3 linked regions of the Notamacropus eugenii genome follow. The protein of the gene in region 3 interacts with the protein of the main gene of each other region in a pairwise test. Links are inferred from orthologs where the notes say so. Each region holds a gene or a part of one and is shown on either strand. Other genes may lie near its edges.

Region 1 (8,013 bases), on a different chromosome or scaffold from region 3:
GATCAGACTCTTCTCCATGTTCTGAAACAGAGTAACAAAGTACTACCACCTAGCTACTAGGAGGTACCCTCTCCCAAGTCCTATGTGCTCCCTTTATCTATATCCTGACAATCCCTTGGTCGAGGAAGCAGAGCTAATCATCAAAGGTACTATATCCCATCCCACCTCCTCCTTTCATTGAACATTGTGAAAAGTCATTTGGATTTGAAAGGAAGGGTCCCATTCTTACCTTCTCCAACTTTCCAGACACAGGGATGAGCTTTGGAGGTGGGCCCCTGAGATGGGCGCTTCGGGCTTGCTGCTCTCGGGAATCCTCAGTGTCACTACAGGGGCTGGAGGGTGAATCTCCCCGAAAGTCCTCATTGATGTATGTGAAGCCAGCATTTCCCACAGGCTTTCTGGTGGGTACTGGGGGGCACAGTGGCTCCTGGGCCCTACAACCACCCCCTCGAAGTAGTAGACCATCCTGTTGCCGGAAGAAGGGAGGTCCCGAGGGGGCAGGCCCTCCTCCAGGGCAGGGCCTGCCTGAAATAAGGCTGCTCACACTGCCCATGGTGGGCAGGTGGGGTGGGTGTGAGACTGTGCTCTCAGGGGTAGCTTCCAGGGGCACGGGCAGAGTCTGGACGATTGCCATGGTTGGAAGGACTGTGGCCTGGCCACAGGCCTTGAAGGCAACCTGCTGTGCAAGGAAGAAGGCCATGGTCAAAGCTTCCCATTCCTAAGCCTCTCTGCCAGACCTCTACTTCCCACTATAACCCACTGTTGAAACAGTACCCACCCAAAATTCCTCTGCCAACTCCCCATCCCCAGTTCTTCTCTATGCCCTTGACCCTAAGCCCCAGCCACCACCAAACAGCCCCAATTCTAAGCCTCCTCATCCTAAGCCTGTCCTGTGTCCTATTAAGCCCTGCTTCCAAACCCTGAAAACTTACCTCCCAACATATACACACATACAAACAGATGGACATGTCTAGTTCCTTGCTCCTTGTTAAGGCTAAAGGGAAAGGTCATGACTTCTCATGTCTCTAGAGCTCCCTTCTATCTCAATAGGGGCCAAGGGTCTGAGATAGATTTAAACTTTATGGGAAATAGGCTTCTCTTGGAAGGAGGATGGGAGAACAGAAGGGGAGGAAGAGTACAGAGAGGCTGGAAAAGGTGTCAAGAGCAAGGGCCAGATAGGGGGAGAGAAGTGGCCAAGCCGGCCCAACTGGTCAGATGAGTCTGGGGCCTCCAGGTAGGGCAGAAACCCCAGTCCGAGGTTTCAGGTCTTGCTGAGCCCCTACACTAAGGTCTAGGGCTCTTGTCCCCTCTGAGGTAGGCAGGTCTCTCTGGCTCAGCCCTTAGGAAGGGAAAACTCACTACCCACTGCAAGAGAGACACCACACACATACTATCCCTGTTCCCAGATGGTAATTAGGGAACGGAGAGCTGCCTGTGCCCTTCCTCCTCAAATCATACCAGTCAATGCACTGCTCCCCAAATTAATCAGTGGTCATTTGCCTCCCCATAAAAACCACCTACCCCCAGTTTTCAAGAAGTTGGGCTAGACTGAACCCTAAAACATTTAACTCTTAACCACCCTAGATGTCTCTGCCCCCAAAGAAAATTTGAGGGTTTAATGAACCCCTTCCTAGCTCACCAGGGACACAGAGTTTCCATGACAAACCCTGCCCTATCCCCAATATCACCTACTAAACCTCTCACCATCAGATTAGTCCTAAGGAACAGAGACAACCCCAGTAAGGAAGACTTGTCAGCTATGACCTGTAGAGAGTTCTTAAAAACACAGGCTCTAACTCTCCCCCTCCAAATGTTCCCAGGATCTAGCTGGAGCTAAACCGAGGAGGGTCTGGTGACCCTTGACCCTCAGCTTCATCTCCTTCTTAGGTTGGGAAGAGGAAGTGCCCATCTGGAACCCCAGCCCTTCCTGAGCCCTCCAAGGGTTTTAGACATCTGTTCAAGCCATCAGGACATGATCTGGAGATAAACGAAAGAGTGTGTGCGTGTGTGTGTGCTCTCAACACAAAGCACTGAAGCTGTATATGTATGAATTCACACATGAAGTACGTTTTTTCCCATTCCCCGCTCAGTGAAGGCCACATACAAATCCACTCCCCCCCCTTTTTAAACCTGTCCTCTCCCCATTTTCAGAATCAAACTATCTCAAGAACTGGAAAGGCATTGAGACAGATATCTAGTATAAGGTGAACCTGAACTCCTGGAGGCCCTTCAACTCCACTTCTCTCTTCCTTACCTCAGCCCCTCCCTCCCCAAATGAAAACACGACAGTGGGCTGGTGAAGTCTCTGTGAGAGCATCAGGTTCCCTCCAGCTGCAGCTGAAGACCAGAGAGCCTGATGCACCACAGCTCAGGCCCCGGACACCTCCTGGGGGTGGGGGGGTTTTAAGAAGATGATATGCCACCCTTAAGGTTACCAGGCACAGAGGAGTGGATCCGCCCCCCCCCCCCACAATGGTGGGTGGGTGGCTGTCTTAAGGGGTCACTAGGCGGACTAGTTTTCCCCATCTGCCTCCTTGTGAGCACAAGGAAAGTGCGGAGCGCTGGGTGGGAGGGAGGCAGGGAGACGCGGAAAGCTGGCAGAAGTGGAAGGGGGAGAGGGGGCGGAGACGAGCAGGGCAGCCGGAGTCTGGAAGTCCAGACTAGGCCGGAGCCTGGGGGGGCCGGGCTCCCGCTCTCTCCTTCCAAGCTGGAGGGAGGGGCTATCGGAGGCTCCATTTTGAGCAGCGTCTGTGTCTGCTCGGGGGGAAGGGGCCCCTCGGCTCCCCTCCCCCACCCCCACCCCCAGGTCGGACTTCGGGGCCAGGGCCAGGCTGGGCGCGCTCCAGCTGCCGGCGCCGCCGCCCCCCACCCCCACCCTGGGGGTCTGGAGTTCAGGAAGCTGCCTCCCAAACCCGCGGGGCTGCGGGGCGAGCGTGGGGGAGCGGAATCCAACCCCCGGACACCGAGCGGGAGGCTCCTCTCTGCGCCCCCCGACTAGCACGGAGTCTGCTAACGAAGGGCCTCGGCTGCTCCTAACTCCGGGGGCGCCGCGGCATCCCTCCCCGCGCCTGCCCCCCTCACCTCCGCCGCGCTGCTCCATGCTCACACCCCGGAGGCTCCCTCGGAGCCCTCGCTGCAGCCCGGATCCTCGGACGCCCCGAGAGCTTGACCGGGGCTCCGCCTCCCCTCCCCCCGGCTCCCGTCCCCTCCCCCTCCCTGACCCAAGCAAGGGAGGGGCAGAGCCCGGGGAAGGGGGAGGTAGCCCCGCCCCCAGCGCCTGGGCTCCGACACGCGCGCAGCCCACGTCACCCGTGTTCTGTAAGCACACAGACGTGCACATGTAAGCACGGATGCGCGCTGTTGCTCGCGCGGGATTCACGCACGTCAAACGCGGCCCCAAACAGGTCCGGAGTCTAGAAGTGGGGAGCACGCCTTCCCACGAAGCCACGCGGGGTGTGCACGAGAGCATGCAGAGGTGGGGGGCGGCCTGCGAGGGTCAGCACGGCCTTCCCCCGCCCCAAGGGGCCTAAGGCTGGCCGCTGGCCCGAGTACCAGCACAAAAGGCCTTGCGGCTCCTCCCCTTCCCAGCCCGGTCAGGCCGGCCCGAGCATCGGAGCCCCCCACCCCTTCCCATTCTCCTGCGGAGGGGGGCGGGAGAGAAGGATCCCGAGCGACCCCGACACCCCAAGGGGGGCCTCAGTTGCTGGCGTGACCCAGGGCCGGACAGGGGCCGATGCAGGGGCCCCTCTTCCTGTGTTCCTGCCCCGCTTGAGACGTCTAAGGGAAGGGTCCCCCCACTCCCCAAACTGCCGAAGCAAGACGAGATTAGGAGACCGTGTACCGACGGCCGCGGCCCAGCCCCGGGCACATCGCCCCACCACCACCACCACCACGTGACGGGCCTCCAGGCCTCGGCCCTCGGCCCGGGAGGGGAGGGCGGTCGGACGGCCGTTCTCCCCGCCCCGGTCCCCCGGCAGTCTTGGCCTTCCCAACCTCAGGGCTATTTTTAGCTCCCTGGAAAGAGTCTTGTTTTCCTTTTTTTCCCTCGAAAGGGGAAGACAGCCCCGCCCCGGCCCCGAAGGCACCGCCCCCGTCGGGACCAGCCACGCCCCCAAGCCCTCCCGCTCCGAAAACCTCGCCACTTCGGACACAGACCAGGCTTTCCGCCCATCACTGCCCCATCCTCCGACGGCTTCTCGCTACAGCCCTGCTCCCTCTCGAAGGCCGCGGGCCCGGATGGGCGGGGGGAGCTCTTTGCCCCCACTAGGCTTCCTGGGGCCGAGCCAGGCCTTCGGGTTCGCCAACACCCCGCCCCCTCCCGGCCCGGCGCCCACGTGTCCGCGCGGAGACACGTGATCCCAGTTTACCGCCTGGCCGGCCGGGAAGCCAGAACTGGGCCAAAATCTCCCAGGCTCCGCCCCCGGCCCTATCCCGCCCCCTCCACCCGTCGGGTCTTGGCTAGCGCACGAGGCTTCCGGTGCACGCTCGGGGGGCGCCCGCGGCTTTCTTTGTGCGAGCTGGCTCTCTCGGCGCGCCGGGGGCGGGGGGCGGCTGGGGAAGGTGGGTCTCCGGACTAGTTGGCGCGGCCCGGGCCGGGCCGCCAGTGCTCTCCTGCAGCCCGCAGGCGCCGGCCTTCCCCTCCTGCCGCCCAGTCCGACCTGCCTCGGAGGGAGCCCTCCCCGAGCCCGCACTCACCGAGGGCTGCCCCGAGCTTCTGGCTCAGTCTTCCGCCCGGCTGAGGCCTCCCAGCTGCTCCGCCCGCTGCCATCGCCTGCCCAGGCGGGAGGGGAGGGGCGGGGCGGGGCCGGCGGAGCCGCACCCGAGGGCCTGCGGCGAGTGAGGGCCCCGCCTGGCCCCCGCGACCCGGACCCCGAAGGACTTTGCGGCCCTAGAGGCCCTGCTCGGAAGGAAGACCGAGATCCCAGGACACCAACACCCAGGCCTTAAACTTTAGTTTGGGCCCACAGCGCCCCGCCCCCCCATGCTGCTAGAAGCAAAACTACCCACGGCGGGCCGCTTCCTGCCGCCTCCACGTGCCCTCGCACGGACGCCTCCCACTGGGCGTCCTGGGTCCCTCGGGCGGGGCGGGGGCTGGCCCGCCTTGTTTGTGTCCCCAAGCTCAGACCCTGGTCTGGCGCGTCTTCGGCCCTCCGGGCCCTCCCCCCTTAAGGTGTAGTGACCCAGAGGGACTCGAATTTCACCCGCGTTGGCCGTGTGGGGGTAGGGTGGGTAAGCGGCGGCATGAACAGCTTCGCAGACCTGGTGAAGCAGGGCTAGAACTCCTCGTTCTCGGGCCGGGCCCAGACCATCCTTTTCTCTGGGTCCGTGCGAGGCCTCCCTAAGTATTCTCTTTTCGTAGGACTAGATACCCCGCGCTCTCGTAGTCCTGGAAGTCCCAACTAGCCAAAGCAGGAAACGGGATGGGAATGGAGGGAGTGCAGCAGGCTAAGCGGTCCTGAGGGGCTGAAGCTATTACACTGCCCCGTTAGGACTGAGAGCACAGGGCCCAGGGCTGGAAGCCGGCTGCAGAGGTCAGGGCCTTACAAAAAGCTCCTTAGCCAAGCATTCCCCCAGTCCCTTCAGCTGGTTTTTCAGATCGTAAGCCATAGAAAACAGGAACCTTGATAGTGATTGCTAGCACAGGGCTCAGAGTATAACCGTCAGTTATCAAGTTCTCACTTGAACTCACGCACCAGACTACATCAGGCCCCACCTAGCCCAGGTCTGGGCTTTGGACTCTATCCCCTACTGGAAGGCTAATTTTGAGTATATTGGGTCGTTTTCATCCCCATTTCCAAGGGCCTTTAATATGTGTGTTGAATAGGAAAATGAGTAAACTGAGGCCGATGAAGTAGGTTCTGCCTGGGCCCACCCTCACGTTTTAGTGAGAGAGTTGCAGAAAACCCCACTGTAGATCTGAGGTTCCAGGAACATGTATCTGTTCTTGCATGGGTACAGGGTGTTTGTTAAGGTGTGTGTTTGTTTAAAGGGTGGGGCTGAGGAGGGGAGGGGAGATAAGGGAGGTTGTGTAGCTTCTTTTCCCTGGCCATTCTGGTTTGTACCGCGTGGGTTTTTCTGAATGTGAGGCAGCACCGGTGGCCCAGGATTTTACTTACCAATTCCTCCAAGCTCCACAAAGGGCATCCTGAGGAAGGTCCATTGAGGAATCCATACTGTTCACATAGGCTAGGCTAATCATACACCCCTTCCCAGGGATGTGCAGTTTTGAGGACTGGCTGTACTATAGAGTCTCTGCCTAAGTCTCTCATCCTGGCCAGCTCAAAGCTAGGAATTATTAAAACAAAAGTCTCAGCTCTATCCAGCCTGAGACCCAGAGAAACCAGGAGCTGTATCCCACTATACAACAAAACTTTCTACCTATCCCTGAAAACTGCCCAAGAATAGTCCTTTCCCTCCACCCCCAACACAGCAAGGCTAACAGGAGTGGGGCTTCATCCTGATCTACTCTTAACATTCATCAAGCCAGTACTACCAGCCATTGCCACTCTGCAGATATGCATGTAAACACACAGATGGATACACATAAATGTACTATAAGACTCTAATGGCTGAGCCCAGCCCCTTGAAAGGATCATGGATACTGGCCTGGTACCACCCCTGCTTTCCATACTTTGGGTAGGATGGGAAAGGGATCTGGGATGATGGCAGGAAAGGGAGAGCAGGAAAAGCCAAGTTTACAGGGTCAGATTGGGCCCCCCCCCCCATCTTGATACCATTTTCCTGGCTCTAATTCAAAGGGCTGCTGGGAAGCAAAGATAGAGGGTCTCCAGGTCAGGGGCTTGGGTGGACACCCTCATTCTCTATCCTAAGGATAAGAAACAAGGACAGGAGATGTTGGCATCATGGTATTGGGGGCACCACTGACACCTGGTGGTCATAGGTGGCAATCACAGAAAGCTAAAAATAAAAAATCAAAACATCTTTTTTAATAAAAGTGTAAGAGGGGTAGGGTGTGTTCAGAGAAGACTAGTGAGGGCTGCTCATCCACCTTTGGTGTCTGTTTGATTCATCCCCCTCTCACCTGTGGTTCCAAGAAGTTGTAGCATGCTCAGTAAACCATTTCAGCAGATGGCTAAACTATGTTGAGTGACCAAGGGGTCTTAGGGAGTGACTATCCCAAGTATGTGAAGATTTCCCAGGTGGAATGAGTGGAGAACAATTTATTCCAATGGCCACAATGGCTACTAAAGCAGGCACTATGGAGACATTACAGATGCCAACAGTCATCCATTGCATCTCAGGTCATCATCAGTCATCTTGATTTTGTCTTGACACTGGACTCCGATGACTCTGGAAGAGTAAGGATGATGATTATGTGCAACTCTGCCTCACTTTAATTTATACCAAAAAGACATCACCCATGCTGTTTTGCCATTTTAGCCAAATTTCCAAATGAAACAGTTTTAAATGCCATTAGGTGCCTTTCATATGGCAAAATGCCTGGTGTTGATTGGATTCTAACTGAAATTTACAAGGCAGGGAGTCAACTGCTCATACAAAAGCTGGCTGAAATCTTCCAAGTTACATGGCAAGAGGTGGTTATACCGCAGGACTTCAAGGATCTTTATATTGTTTGTTGCTATAAAGATAAAGGAAATAGATTATCCTGTGACAATCACAGGAGAGTGTTTCTCTTAGACATTGCTGGAAAGATTCTTGATAGAGCCCTACTTAATAGGCTGATGCTTCACCTAGAATACAGTCATCTACCCAAGAGCCATACTGGCTTCAGAGAGAGCTGAGGAATAGGCAATATGGGCCTGACAACTCCAAGAGAGATGACAGTAGAATAGACATCCGTACATGTTTGTCAATCAGACCAAAGCCTTTTGTCAGTTATGAAGGCTTGTGGAAAATTATGGCAAAATTTAGTTGCCCAGAGTTCATCAGTATCGTACATCAACTTCATGATGGCTTGCTTGCATGAGTTCTAGAGAGTGGATAATATCTCCAGCTTTCCCAGTCAGCAATGGAGAAAAACAAGGCTGTGTG
Region 2 (7,014 bases), about 440 Mb from region 3:
ACTTGGCTTGTTCCATAATTCTTCTTATGGTTTGCTGTGGAATTAGAACTTTAATGACTGTATCAATGGCCTGCTCTGGCAAAATTTGAACTTGTTAAAATTCATCTTCAGCATCCTCTATGTTTGTATGCTCTTCCCTAATTTGATGTCTCTGAAATTAATCCTAATTCTACCCCTACCTATCCTCTGTTGTGCTGTATCATGCAAATCAGTCTTCTCTAAATCATTCCAAGATTTTGATCTTTTTCATTTCTCCACTCATCAAAATTTACCCATTCTTTGTCCTGCCACCACAGGTCCAGTGATCTCTGCTCATGTGTTAGTGGACGGTAGTTAATGAGCCTACATTTGCCTATCTGCAAAATGGGAAAAATACTAGCACCGACCAATAGGGTTGCTGTGAGGATCAATGGCTTTACAAACTCTGAAGTCCCATAAAAGTGGGAAGTATTATTCTTCAGCTAAGTTTAGTCTCTAACACATTGGAAGCTAGTGGCCTGAGCTCACTATTTCAGGACATGTGGAATGATCACTGCTGCCCATCTCCCACAGCCAACACTATGTGTACCACTCACTTTTCCCTTTAATCACATCCTGTATCATATTGTTTACTGTGTTTCATATCTCTATGTCTTCTCTTCCTGAGTAGATCACAAACTTCTTAAAGATAGACAGACATTGAATTATATAACAGTAGTAATGCAGCGATAATCACACTTTTATACTTCTTTAAGGTTTGTGAAATACTCTTATTATAACAGGTTGGTTTTTTGTTTTTCTGTCAAGGCAGTTGAGGTTAAGTTACATATCCAGGGTCACACAGTAAGTGTCAAATATCTGAGGTCAAATTTGAACTCTGGTCCTCCTGATTCCAGAACTGGTACTCTATCCACTGTGCGACCTTGCTGCCCCTTATAAGAATGTTATGAAGAGGTATTATAAGTGTAATAGGGGACTGGCTCCTGGGGGCCCATTTCTGGGAGCCTGTCCAACAGATTTCTCCTGCTGTCAATTCACATGGTAGTTTGGCTGAGTCAACTTCTGAAAGCGTGTGATGAGGTGGAGGGCCCCAGCACTCCTCTACAGAGAATTTGCAGAAATTCTGCAATTGTTTCCTGTTTGTTTACTGAGTGGTGAAGAAAGATCTTTTGATTGGCTGCTGGGCTGGAAGTGAATATTCATAGAAAGGACAGTAATTAGTCAAATCAACTTCCCTTTTCCTTGATAGTAATCAAGGGAAAAACTTGCTTCGAGCCCCCAGATAGCAACAGAGGCCTCAGACCCTTATCTACGAATCTGGGCTTCTGGGTGGCCTTGAACATTTGTTAATTTTCTGTCCCTGTCATGTTTTAGCCTTTCTTCCTCTTAGGTGAATGAGTGTAGGGGTTGGAATGGACCAGACCAATGGTTTTAAACTCATCTAGAAACAAGGTCCACCAATCCATACATAAGATCCCTGTGGGTTGCATATTTACTTAGATTTAACATGTAATACTCAAATCCAATTCAATTGCAAGTCATGTCATCATCTTCCTGATGTCATGGTCTTCTTTGAGAACAAAGGACAAACCACACAATGTTTTGTTATATTTTAATTTATTTTGTAAATATTTGCTGTTTTATTTATTATTGAAAAATAAAGTTTAAATTATTTACTCTCTCATTACTATTATTATTATTATTTAATAAATAAAATTTAAATGAATTGTTTACTATTTGGTTAAATATTTATTTTTTGTTTGGACAGTGCTCCAGAGTGTTATGCAGCTCACTGGCCAGATTCTTGACACTTCCAGACTAGGCTGCAACTCTGTGCTTTGAAAGAGCCTCTAGATGTCTAGGAACTTGATTTTGTCCCATAGTTTGGCTAGCTAAGCCCAGCGAGAAGTGTAGCCCCAAGGAGTAACCTGAGGGATCCATCCCAGAAGTCATTTACCCCAGGCAGTCAAGGGACCAACCACTCCAGAGTAACTTGTTCATAAGCCACATGGCACCCAGAATGGACATTGATAGGGCAAAGTCTGGTGGCAGCACCTTAAAGTTGAGCTCATTCTCCACAGGGACTGAGGTGGTAGAGGGAAGACTATGTCTCAGTTAAAGGGAAGGTATTTTCCTTTGGTTCATGATAAATTTTCTCAGTAATTATACTGTTTTAAGAACTAGTTGATTTCAATTATTTATTGATGAGATTGAGAAGCTGTTAAGTGATATTGGGCTGCTAATCACTAGCAGTGGTATTGGCGGAATAAATTAGAATAGGGGTCAGATGATACCATTAGAACCTCTTGAGGTTACCCCTAGAATCCTTGAATAGAGTGGTGATGCAGTTGAGTTCTGGTGACCCAGCTCTTCAATACAAGGAGATCTGGTGTTGAGAAAATACGTCCAGAGCTTAAAGGACTACATAAGTACCCCGAAGGGTAGCGAAGTGGTGTAGTAGATATAGCACTGGGTCTAACGTCTGGAAGACCTGAGTTCAAGTGTGGCCTCAGATACTTACTAGCTGTGTGACTCTGGGCTAGTTACTCTACTATATTTGTCTCGATTTCCTCATCTGTAAAATGACCTGGAGAAGGAAACAACAAAGCAGTATCTTTGCCAAGAAAACCCCAAATGAGGTCACAAAGAGTCAGACAGGACTGAAATGACCAAACAATAGGTATCATGAAACCTATTTTACATTGTAGATATGGAAAGGTAATGTGATAGGAGTGACTAAAAAGTTAATCTAGAAACAAGGAAGAACTGTGTTCAAGTTATGTCTGATACATACTGCCTACTTGACTGTGTGGGTACCTACTTGCACCATGCCAATGAAATCTCTATTCTAGTGCCCTATTCTGCTGATGAAGAAACATGAGGCTCAGAAAGGTATAGGGACTTGCCCAAAATCAAAGGACTATGAAGTGTCAGAATTAGAGTCTAGACCCAGCTCCATATCCAGTACTCAACTTTGTGTCTCCCCCAGACTGAAGCATTTGATACTTGTTCTAGTTAAATTATATATTGAAATAGTCTTTCTTTCTTCACTTCTGCCTGAGGGAGGAAAGATAATTAGAGCAAAATAAAAGTAACGTTAAGTATGAGACCTCTACTCCCATTTTCTTTGCCACTTATACGTAATAAAACATTTCACCTTTCAAGGCATGCTGGTCAGTCTTCAGACCAAGACCTTATGAAATTGAAGATGTGATTCATCTTTTGAGAGATCTGTTAAATAGATTTGTAATGAACCCTCAAATTCAGCCTTTAATCAGGTTGAGAAACCAATCAAGAACAAGATAATAATCCAGGAATTGAATCTAGAAGCCCTGTGGCATTGGGGTTAACAAGGAATTTTCTTTGCAAAGAGTAAAGAAGAAAACACAAATGCATATTGCCACTGATTAAAGTACCAAATGGAAGATATGTGTTTGAATACGACGAATAGAAAGCATAATGTTTATGGATCCCACGTCATCAATGTGTGGCAGTCAGACTTTAATTCAACAGTGGACATTCTTCAGTATAGGGGCCCAAGTTTTCTGGAGTCAGCTTGGATGCTCTGAACTACTTAGGGACTTTGGACCAGTTTAAATACTCTATATGAATTGATTGCAGTTTGCTTTTTAAATTCAAATGACAGCTACTTGGCACTCAATTCAGATGTTCTTTAAAAGTCAAAATTATAATTCATTACTTAGCTATCAAGCTGCCTTGCTATATATAGTTATAAAAACAGAGGAAACAGGGGTTACTTCAAGGAACTCAATGGTAAAAAGAATTTGTTTACGTATATTTTATATTCTTGTGGGTTTTTTTTTTTTTGCATTGCTTCGACAACTTTTCTGGGTTCACAGGCTTCACATTTCTAGACTGCTTTTCTAATTCCCTGCTAACTTTTCCCCTTCTTCAATTCCACCTTAAAACATCTGCCCAACCAGCTAGACCAGCCCACAACCTAGCCCCTCCCACTTAGATGATTTTTTTAAAACTTGTCCATACCCAGGCACTGAAAAAGAAGCCTTGCAGAAAGCTAAAGGGATAGACCGATCTGAAGATTCTAGTATACATTCAAGAACTGTAAGCAACATACTTACTCTTCCTTTTTTTTTTTTTAAGAAAAAAATTCCATTCGTTGCTAGTTTGTTAAATTTGTCAGGATAGAAAACCGTGGAAGGAGGCAAAAAAAGGCACAAGTTTTTCAGTCTGCATGTGACTTGACTTTTGAAAGGGGAAGCAGAGCCTTGAGAACGCCTGTTTCTTTTTAGCAAATGTGTACTTGTTTTACGAGGTCTATGAAAAAGAAAATAATCAGAAAAGGTGCTTTACCTAGCTTGGAACCTTGAAAGAAGCTTTTAAAGAGCAGTTAAGGTAGTGCTGTACCACTTCCACGTGATTGTGTAGCCCAATGATTGCTGTTCCTTAAACTTTAGCACTGTGACTACTTGACAACTCAAAGACTCCTAGGAAGAGATGGATTATATTCTCTTATTTGATTCTCTCTGAGTTTTTCTTCTCTTTTCCTTGTTTTCTTCTAATTTCTTCCTTTCCTCCTCCTTCCCTCCCCCTTTCTCCCTTTGTTCCTCCCCTTCCTTTCTTCCTTCCCTTTCTTCCTCCCTCCCTTCTTTGCTTCCTCCCTTCTCTCCCTCCCTTCTTCCTTCCTTCCCTTCTTCCCCCCTTCTTCCTTTTTCCCTCCCTTCTTTTCTCCTTTCTTTCTTCCTTCCTTCCCTACTTCCCTCCCTCCTTCCTTCCTTCCTTTCTCTCTTTCTTTCCCTCTTTCTTTTTGTCTTTCTTTCTCTCTTTCTTCCTTTCTCTGGAAATTCCAGATGTTGCAACATGAAAGAAAGCAAAGATTAATGTAGGATCTGGACCAGTGATGTCATTGGTACTGTGAACTTTCAGGTGATGTAACTCTCTACCAATGAAGATTCTCTGCAATTTATAGTATGAGAATTGTCTAGAGCACCAAAAGGGTAAAGTGACTTATCCTGAGTCACATAGCCAGTACCTGTCAGAGGCAGGATCTGAATCCAGGTCATCATGACTTCAAATTCTTCTCTCCATCCATTATTTCACTGTGCCCCTAGACTTAAAATGATTTTGGCAATATTTGTTTATGATGGAATATCACCTATTAGTAATAATATAGATGGTCAAAACAATAATTGTAATCTGACTTGCAGTAACTACAGCACAGATAGAGATGTTTGAAGGAAGATGAATAACAACAATTTTGTAATTTGAGAGTGGAAAATGATTTAGGAATTCTATTTTGGGGTAAGGAGATTTAAGGAGGGAAAGTAGAAAAAGTTGTTTTAGAATGGAATAGGCAGAAGCCATGAAAAGGAAAGAGAAAAATATAGATTTTGTTTTGTGGCTGTTTTAATTTAATTTAATATTGTTTGCAGTTTGTTAGTTGCCTTTCACAATCAAAATTATTTTATTTCTTAAAAGAAAATGTAAAATTCTTTTCTTATTTGTGTTAGTTTGTTGGATTAGGTGATTTTCTGTGCATATGTTATCTTGCTCCATATGTATTCTAAATATAGGTAGAGATTTTTTTTAAAAAAAAGTAGCTTGGGACTGGATAAAGATAAAATACATTCTTTGGATTTCAAAATAAGTTGGATGATAATAGGAAAGACACAGGATTGGGGGTCTGACTAGTTAAGGTCTCATCCTGGTTCTGCCATTAATTTTTTTTTTGTGACATTTGCAAAACTATTTAATGAGTGTAAGCCTCAGTTTCCTCATTCGTAGAATGACATGGTCATATTAGATTAACATCTAACATGAATGATCTATGATTCTACATGATGTAATCTAACTTTACCACAACCTAGAATTATATTTTAATTTTACTTAAAAATAACCTTATCATAAAACACAGAAAAAGAAATTTGCACCTGCTATTGGTGGATGACAAAAAATGATGTATCAACTAAAGCTGGCAGAGCATGCTGGGATCAGCATTGCACCATTCATTTGTTCTGGAAGATGCTTTCTATCTAAAAAAAAATGAGTGTCTAAGAGATAGTAAAAATGCTCAGACTTCAGCAGCTAAAATATCTCACTGCTCCATGTAAAGCAGTTCAAACAAGATTAAGAGGGAATGTTATTAGGAAAACTGGAAATGAAAAATAACAACACTTCTTAGAAGGTTTCACATTTTAAGTAGCCCATATAGCCATAAGCAAGCCTGTTTCTCCAGTTCATTTTAGGTAAGAGATTGGAATCCTCCCCTTTAATGGAGCATTGTAAGAGTTAAATGGTAACTGAAGCAATTCTTGTGAAATGTATAGAGAAGTAAATGTTTAATCTGTATATGCAGAAAGCAGTTTACAAACTTCCTGTAGAGGAAGCACTTTTTTAATTGGAGAAAATAGAGCTCCTTCTGAACAATTTAAGTAATTTAAAAGTTTTTGACAAGAATTCTTGGTTTAGGGTGTTGGAGAAAAATTGTGAAGCAGATTCCTGAATCTCTGACAATGTTTAGTAATAGAAATAAGTGGTTCTTATTCCTAGCCAACAGTAAGTCCTGTTAGCCCTGCTTATCTACAGAGTGTGGTACTTTCAAAATTAGAACACTTTAAAGGCAGGGAGTAAATGGAATAGCTTAAGATTATATCCATTTAAAAATAGTTTGCAAGTAGAAAAGAGGAAGACCTAGAATTAGTTTGTGGTTCATTTTCCTTAGACATGTCTTACACTAGCCAACTCCTTTTTTTTTTTCCATAGCTTTAGAAAATAAAAACTAGAAGCTTTGTGTCATACGAAAATATTCTCCAGAATGTTTTCATGACACATTGAATTACTGAAACTTACAAAGAACTAGTTAAAAAGAACTAATGGTATGGAAAGGAAATTTTGACCCCAAATAAAGTCCTTAAAGGCCCCTCTTCCTCTTACTCATTCCTCCCAGCAGTGCAAGGGCTTCTTGTATTGCATTTTAGACTTTAGTGACACAGCAAAAAACAGGACTTTTTGATATTCTTCTTCTAAGTAGATCAGAGATTTGTGAAGAATAAACCC
Region 3 (7,881 bases):
TCTAGGCCTCCTTGGCACACCTTCCCTCTGACAATCCCTGGCTCCCGCAGAATTCAAACCCTATCGGATGCAGGAGCCCAACTCGACCCACTGCTTGGCCTCTCCCTTCTAAGGCTCTCTCCCACCTACTCTCTCTTCATCAGACATGAGGACTCAAGCACATATCTCCCCATTTGATTGTGAGCTCCTGGGGACAAGGACTGAGATTGTGTCTTTCTTTGCTTCCCCAAAGCTTAGTACAGTGTGTAGCATATATAGTAGGTGCTCAGACAGTGACAGGAGGCTAGGGGAGGGAGGCCCCAATGACGTACCAGGTGACGCTGCAGACACTTGAGGCTTTTCCCATACTTCAGACAGAATTCGCAGAGATAGAGCACAGGTAGGGCAGTTAGTTCTTGGGGATATGGGGAGAAGTACCAGGGCTTGAGGCGGTGGCGGCCCAGCTCGATGCACTCGATGTTCTTCATGCGGGTAACAATGTCGTCGTGGCTGCGGTCAGACACCAAGCTGCCTGTCATGCGAGGGGCCGACGGGATTCCGTCCGAGCTATCCTGTGAGTCCTGTCGGTGGCCACAGGGCAGGGAAAGGCATGAGCATGCCACCCTCCCCTGACTTGGCTCCCTTTACTCCACCCTTACCAGACTCACCTCATCTGTGCCTAGACAGTTGGACTTCCTCTTCCGTCCTGGCTGGGCAGCCAGTGCCCTCCGGGCTGAACCATTCTGTGGAGACACAGGAGGGGGAAGGAAGGAATGAGCTGAGGGTCTCAAGGGCATGGGCTCAGGGGCACCAAGGGGGTCTCAAGCACACACCTGAGGGAAGACAGAGGCTGGTGCTGTCTCGCTGGGCACGGGAGTTGCTGGTGAAACCACTTCGACTTTCCGTTTCTGCAGAGAGAGACCGAGAAAGGTGGGTCAAAGGGGCAGGGGACCTGGGTCTTGGAAGGAAGCGAGCTCACAAGGAACTGTGGGGACGAGGGAGCTGGGCTCCGGAGCTCCAGGTGAAGAGTGGAATCCGAGGGTACCGTGGAACGGTGGTTGGGTTGCAGGCAGGAGCTGGAGGAGAGGGGCTGGTCAGGCTCGCCGCCGGGGATGGCCTCGCGCTCCTTGGGTAGGTTGAAGCGGAGCGTGATCTGCACCGGGATCGGCAGTGTCTTCCCACTGGCCTGGGCCGAAGCCGGCTGTAGAGATAGGTCCAGGGTCTTCCTCTGGGGGAGGGGGAAGGGAGCGAGGGGGAGGGGAGGAGGGGGCCCCCATCAGCCAGGTGGGTTCACCCCCCCACCCCTTCCCCTTGGGCTGGCTTCCCACCCCAGCTATGTGGGGTTTGGTGACTGAATTTTGAAACCTAAGATTCAGTAACACCACCTCCTCCCTCTGACCCGACCTGAATCTCTACAGAGCCTCTCCAGGCTGCGGCCACTATAGCAGGGCTGCCTTGTTCCCCTTCTCATCCTCAGCCTGCGGCACAGGAGCCCCAAAACCATGGGTTAAGCACGACAGGGACAAGCGAGATGGGGGCGGGGCCTGACCATCCTCCTGGGAACTGTCTCCAGGTTGATTTGGATACTGCTTCTACTCACCACCTCCCTCTCAGGGGAGCCCGGTCTGGACCCAGGGAGCCCATTTTTTGTGGGGGTCTTCGCCTCTTTTTTAGGAAACTGGATCTTCTTTAGGTCCAGCCTGTCATGGGTCACCCACTCATCCAGGCGCTTGTTGACTGCACAGAAGTGGAGAAGTTCTGATGTAAGGTGTCCCCCAGGGCTCTTCTCATCCTCCCAACCCCCGATGCCTGTGATACCCGCCCTGTACCCAAGGACCACTGGGCGTGGCACTCACAGTCTATGTAGTGAACGTAGAACAACTTCCGGCCACTAATGTCCTTCACACTCAGGATCTCGGCCAAAGCTGCGAGGGAGAGGCAGGAGTCTTGGAGGGGTGCTGGGCACAGACCCCACTTTGTCCCTGGGAGCCAGCTTCCTCCATGTCCACCCCCTGCTTTGGTTCTACCCTCTGGAGAAAAGTATCTTCTCTCCCCCTCCAAGTCCCTCCCCAGGATGCCCAGATCACCCCCTCTCCTTAGCTTGGGTCCTGCCCCTTCCCCACCAGTCCCTGGCCCCGCCCTTAGATTGCCCTTGGAATGCCCTTGGAGAGGGGGGGTGCCAAGGACTCTGGCCCCGCCTCTTGGCTCCTAGGGGTCCTTAGCCCCGCCCTGCCCTCCACCCGAGGCATCCTAAACTGGAGACCAAGTCTCACCTCTCCCAAGACCGGGGGTGGGTGGATGAGTGGGTGGAGTCTTCAGGTTCTAGCCACACCCCACCAAGCCCCACTCTGGGAGGTCTCAGGCTCCATCCTTAAATTAGCCACGCCCCTTTGCCATTTACCCCAGGCCCCCTCTCTAATCCCTTCCCAGGAGGTCTCTTGGCCTCTGGCCAGGCCCCCTCCCCGGAGTCTCTCAGACCACGTCCCTCCCTCCCCGAGCCCTGGCCCTCTCTTTATCCTTCCCTCCGAGGTATGTTTCAGCCCCGCCCCTCAGGGGAACCACGCCTATTCGCTCCCCAAGCCCCGCCCTCCCTGCAGGGCTCCAGCGCCCAGGCCCCGCCTCCACGGCGCCCGTTGGCTCCGCCCCCCGTCACTCACGCCACTCATCCTCGTTATCCTGATTACGCCGCAGCACGGGCAGGCGGCAGCCTTCGATGACCTCGCCCTGGGGAAGACACCGCGGTCAATGGGGGAGGCCGGGGGAGTCGCCGCCGTCCTGCGGATGCCTCCGCCCCGCCTCGCCCCGCCCCGCGCCGGGCCCCGGACTCACCACCTCCGCCATCTTCCCTCCCTCCCTCAGGAGCCGCTTCCGGCTCCGCGGGGTGACGTCACATCCGGCGTACCGGCGCCTCCCTGCTAGCAGCTCTGAGGGTGTGGGGCTGCGGGAGGCTCCGGGAGGAGGGGACCGGGGGCGGGAGGAGCCCGCGGCCAAGAACGCGGCCCAAGCGGGGAGGGCGGCCGGCCCTCAGGGGCGCTCGGCTCCGGGTTGGGCAAGCGGCGCAGGAACCACCTCGAGGCCCCGGGCCGGCTCCGGGCCGGGGCGGGGCCTCGCGCCTCGCTGCCTGATTGGAGGAGAGCTGGGTCCTTCACGCCACGTAGTTCGAGCGCGTCGCAGTCACGTGGGCGCGTGACGCGCTTGTTGTTCCGGCCGGGTCCTGGAAGTGCGGGCGGGGCCGGCCTGCGGGGCAGCAGACTGCGGCGGCGGTGCTCCATCCGGCCTGCACTGGGTTCGAATGCGGCTGCTCACCCGAGCTGCCTTAGCGACCTTGGACAAGTCACTCTCCAGTCTGGGCTTCAGTTTCCCCCTCTGTAAAGGGTCGGGGTTGGCCGGGCTGGGCGCCTGGAGTCAGGAAGGCCTGAGTTCCAGTCGTGCCCAGACCCTTGTTAGTCCTGTCACCCTGGGCACATCACTGCGTCTCGGCTTAACGGAGCCCTAACGGCACCTGCCCCCACCCCCGGCCCCCAGGGTTGTTGTGAAGATCGAATGGCATTTCGCTGCCAGAGTGCCCAGTCACGATGCAGCGCAGAGGCATGTCAAACCCAGGGCGCTGCCAACCACTGTTTCTCCCCCAAACCTTCTTTGGACAACCGAGCCTGGGCCGAGGGGCCTGTCCCAAGTGAGTTGTGAGGATCCCCCGCAGGCAGAGTTCGTGTTTGCTAGGTCTTTTTGCTTCCGTCAATAAATCAATTAATTAAAATAAGTGATTGCTTTGTTTTTGATTTACCAAAATGAATTGGAGCAAATACTGACCGGAGAGACCACGGAGGAATACCTTTGCCACCATCACAAGGAATGAACGGGCCTCCTTTGTCTATGGCGGTGAGTTCTCATCCTGGATCTCTCCCACCGTAAACACAAGTATTTCAACAAAATTAATGTGCTTTTGAATTTTTAACGCAGTTGTCAATTTGACGTTTCTAAACCGAAGAAGGAAATGGATCATGAGCTCCTTTGGAGCAGCAGCAGCTGGTGGTTTTATGAAGGGATGTGAAAACGGAATGCTGCAAAGGCTGGGAGGTTATGTGTGACCTTGGTCCGTTCACATCCCTTCCTTCCGTCTCAGTTTCTTGAAGGACGTCTAAGGTGACTCCAACTTCTCACAATTTACCCTCTGAGGCCCTTCCAAGTTCTCATGTTTTGTATTCTAAGGTCCCTCTCAGTTCTGACCTGCCCAGCCAATCCTGACAGTCTACATTCTATGCTCTTAAATTCTCTATCAGGCATCATTATATAGATAGGTCTATATTTACATGTGTACATGTTAGACTCCTATAAAATGTCAGATCTTTGAGGACAAAGAACTTCTATTTTTTGTCTTTGTATCTCCAGTGCCCAAACAGTGCCTGGCAAGCAGTTGGTTTATTGATTCCAAGGTCCTTTTCATCTCTTATGTTCTGTGTCCTAAGGTCTCCTCCAGTTCTGAAACCCTGTGCTAGGTTTTCAAGTCTCTCTGAGGATTAACATTCTCTGTTCTGTTTTGTACTGTCTAGCAAGACTTTTCCAAGGCCAGAGAAAGTAACAACGCTCCCCGCTCTTCATCCCTATCTTCCTGGTATTCCCAGAAACTGTCAAGTTTCAACTCCAACCCCACCTTCTGCAAGAAGCTTTTCCTGATCCCCTTTAATTCTAGTGCTTAACATCTGTGAAATACCTTCTATTTATGTACACAGTATGATGTTTGTATGTTGTCTCTAATCAGACTGTAACACCTCGAGAGTAGGGGCTGTCTTTTGCCTTTCTTTGTATCCCCCAAGCTTAACACAGTGTCTGGCATACAGTAATAGACTAATAAACACTCAGCGGACTTGCAGGATAACATTCCATAGCCTTGTCTTTTAAAAACCATGATTAGACATTTTTTTCCTCTATGTTCTAAGGCACCCTCCCAGTTCTGACAATCTGTGTTCTAATTTCTTTCCCCTTTCTGATAATCTACAATCTAAGTTCCGTCCCAACGCTGCTCTTCTACACTGTGTGACCTAAGTAAGCTCTGACAGTCCATGTTCCAAGGCTCGTACAAGCTTCGACATTCTCTGTTCTACTTTTTAAGACTTCTCCCAGGTAAGACATTCTTGTCTTTCTGGGATCACATATCTGGAGATAAAGGGACCTCAGAAATCAACTAGTCTAACACCTCTACCATTTTATTAATGAGGAAATTGAGGTCTAGGGAGGTTAAGTCTCAGTGGCTGAGGTGGGATTTGAACCCAGTTCCTCTGATTTCCCAACTCATGCTTCTTTCACTATACCAAACTGCCCTAAGGATACATTCAGCTCTGATATTCAGTGTTATCTAGCTAATAGCATTTAGGTTCTCCAGTTTCTGGTCCCTGCTAGTCTGATATTCTCTGCTTGATGCTGTAATGTCCCATCCACTTCAGCAAGTCCTATGTTCTAAGGTCCAAGCCAGCCCTGACATGCAGTTCTCTAAGGCCTTTCAAAGCTCTGACATTCTTTCTTCAAATGCCCTCCTCATTTCCAGCAGTCTTTATTCAAGGGTCCCTTCTGATAGGTTTTGTTCTCAGGTCCCTCCCATCATACACTAACAATCCATGTCTATGTTGTAATACCCATCCACGCTTCAGATTAGTTCCCTTCAGTTTCAGATATCCCATGTTCTGCTGTCACATACTGTGTTGCCTCTTACCATCTCTTAGTATGTTCTAAAGATGCTCCCACCTTAGATAAGCTTTCTCAGAGACATCCTACCTGATGAACAAATGCTATGTTCTGTGCTAAAGTCAAAGCTTGACCTTTGACATTTGAGGTTCTAAGGTCTTTCCTAGCTCTGATAGTCTATGTTGTAAACTCTCAGACAGCCAATACACATGAATTAAGCACTATGCTAAGCACTAGGGATACAAAGAAAGGCAAGATAGTCTCTGCCCTCAAGGACCTCACAATCCCTTTAGGGGTTTCCCCAACATGCAACAAACTATGTACAAACATGCCATATAAACAGGAAAAATAGGAAATAATTAACAGAGGGAAAGCACTAGGACTAAGAGGGAAAGAGAAAGGCTTCCTGGAGAAGATGGGCTTTTAGTTGGGACATACAAGAAGTCAGGAGGCCAGCAGTCGGAGATGAGGAGAGACAATGTTCCAGGCACAGGAGGCAGCCAGAGGAAGTACCTGAATCCAAGAATTGGAGGGTCTTGTTCATGGACCAGCAAAGAGGCCAGTGTTACTGAATCAAAGAGTACAAGTCAGGGAATAAGGTGTAAGAAGATTGGAAAAGTAGATAGGAGCTTCAAACACCAAAAACAGTAAGTAGGACCTGCTCTTTAGGAAAATCATTTTAGCAGCTCTATGGTGGCTGGACTGGAGTGGGGAGATACTTGAGGCAGGCAGACTCACCAGCAACTAATCCAGGCTTGTGGTGATGAGGAGAGAAGGGGGTATAATGGGAAGATGCTGCAGAAGTGAAATCAATCAGAGGTGTTACAGAGGAGAAATCAACAAGAAGGGCTAGAGAGGAGAAATCAACCAGAGGTGAAATGAACAAGGAGGCTGGAGGGGGAGAAATCAACATATTGGATGGGGGAAAGGGAGGGAGGGAGTAGTCCAGAATAACTCCTAAATTGGGAGCCTGGGGGACTGGGAGGATTGTGTTGCCCTCTACAGTAACAGGAAAGTAGGAAGTGGGGATGGTTTGGACAATACTGAGTTTAGGATGTCTACTGGACATCAAGATGCCTTGAAAGGCAGAGATATGAAATTGGAAATCAGCAGAGTTAAGGCAGGATAGGTAAATTTAAGAATCATCGGCATAAAAGTGGTAATTAAATCCATGGAAACTGATAAAATCACAAAGTGAAATGGAGAGAGAGAAGAGAAGAGGGTCCAAGAGAGGAGGGGCCTAGGGAAGAGAGCATGATCTGGAGAAGGATCCAGCAAAAGAGACAGAAAGAATGGTCAGAGAAGAACCAGGAGAGAAAGGTGTCCTGAAAACCAACAAAGGAAACAGTGTCAAGGAGGAGAGAGTGACCACTATTATCAAAGGTTGCAGAGAAGCCAAGGAGAATAAGGAATGAGAAAAGGCTGCTAAGAGATCATTGGTAAACTTTAACATTCTGTGTTCTAAGGTCACTCACATCTCTGATATTCTATGTTCTAAGGCCCTTACTAGCTTTGACCATCAAAGGTCTCCTCATATCTGATGTCCTATGTTCTCAGGTCTTTCCTAGCTCTGATATTCTATATTCATCTAAGCTTTGACATTATATATTCTATATTCTGAGATCACTCCCAACACTGACATTTGGTATTGGATGTTCCCTGAGTCTTATGTGCTGATATTCCACATGCTAAAGGCCTTTTCAGGCATCAAGGTGGCACAGTGGATAGAGTGTGGGGCCTGGAGTCAGGAAGACTCGCCTTGAATGCAAATCTGGTCTCAGACACTTAGCTGCGTGACCCAGAGCAAGTCATTTAACCCTATTTGCCTCAGTTTTCTCATCTGTAAAATGAACTGGAAAAAGAAATGGCAAACCACTCCAGTATCTTCACCAAGAAAACTTCAAATGAGGTCGTGAAGAATTGGACATAACTGAACAAAGGGCCCTATTAGTTCTGATAACCTATGTTATTAAGGCTATCTAGGCTCTGATATTCTGTAGTATATGGACTAAATCTCCTCCCAGTTCTGACGTTTTCTGTTCCCAGTTTTAAGCTTTGTTTAAATCCAACCAGGTCTAAATGAGAAAATGAAAACCAAGATTTCATAGAGAGCTCATTGTTCACCTTTTTCTTCTGATACTTTTATTGATTAAAAAATCCAAATTTTCCACCAGTTTATTTTAGAATCAATTTAGAATTAATATAATTTCCGCATCAGCAAAA

The links. The genes of interacting proteins can lie anywhere in the genome.
Region 1: the proteins of KAT5 (region 3) and LZTS2 interact in binary tests that used the Homo sapiens proteins (3 or more experiments, as listed by UniProt). The two-hybrid records come from large-scale screens. The link is inferred for Notamacropus eugenii from reciprocal best matches to the Homo sapiens genes KAT5 and LZTS2.
Region 2: the proteins of KAT5 (region 3) and PLA2G4A interact in a two-hybrid assay, tested with the Homo sapiens proteins (2 studies listed by BioGRID). The link is inferred for Notamacropus eugenii from reciprocal best matches to the Homo sapiens genes KAT5 and PLA2G4A.

Annotation. Positions count from the first base shown.
Region 1 is NC_092872.1:178,969,512-178,977,524, reverse strand, and holds the start of LZTS2 (leucine zipper putative tumor suppressor 2), read right to left. Parts: upstream 3,059-8,013; 5' UTR 701-3,058; coding exon 230-700; intron 22-229; coding exon 1-21. UniProt on the Homo sapiens protein: Negative regulator of katanin-mediated microtubule severing and release from the centrosome. Required for central spindle formation and the completion of cytokinesis.
Region 2 is NC_092873.1:458,076,268-458,083,281, reverse strand, and holds the start of PLA2G4A (cytosolic phospholipase A2), read left to right. Parts: upstream 1-3,956; 5' UTR 3,957-4,062; intron 4,063-7,014. UniProt on the Homo sapiens protein: Has primarily calcium-dependent phospholipase and lysophospholipase activities, with a major role in membrane lipid remodeling and biosynthesis of lipid mediators of the inflammatory response.
Region 3 is NC_092873.1:18,452,305-18,460,185, reverse strand, and holds the start of KAT5 (histone acetyltransferase KAT5), read right to left. Parts: upstream 3,091-7,881; 5' UTR 2,821-3,090; coding exon 2,809-2,820; intron 2,704-2,808; coding exon 2,637-2,703; intron 1,905-2,636; coding exon 1,836-1,904; intron 1,717-1,835; coding exon 1,580-1,716; intron 1,208-1,579; coding exon 1,025-1,207; intron 888-1,024; coding exon 813-887; intron 723-812; coding exon 648-722; intron 561-647; coding exon 312-560; intron 1-311. UniProt on the Homo sapiens protein: Catalytic subunit of the NuA4 histone acetyltransferase complex, a multiprotein complex involved in transcriptional activation of select genes principally by acetylation of nucleosomal histones H2A and H4.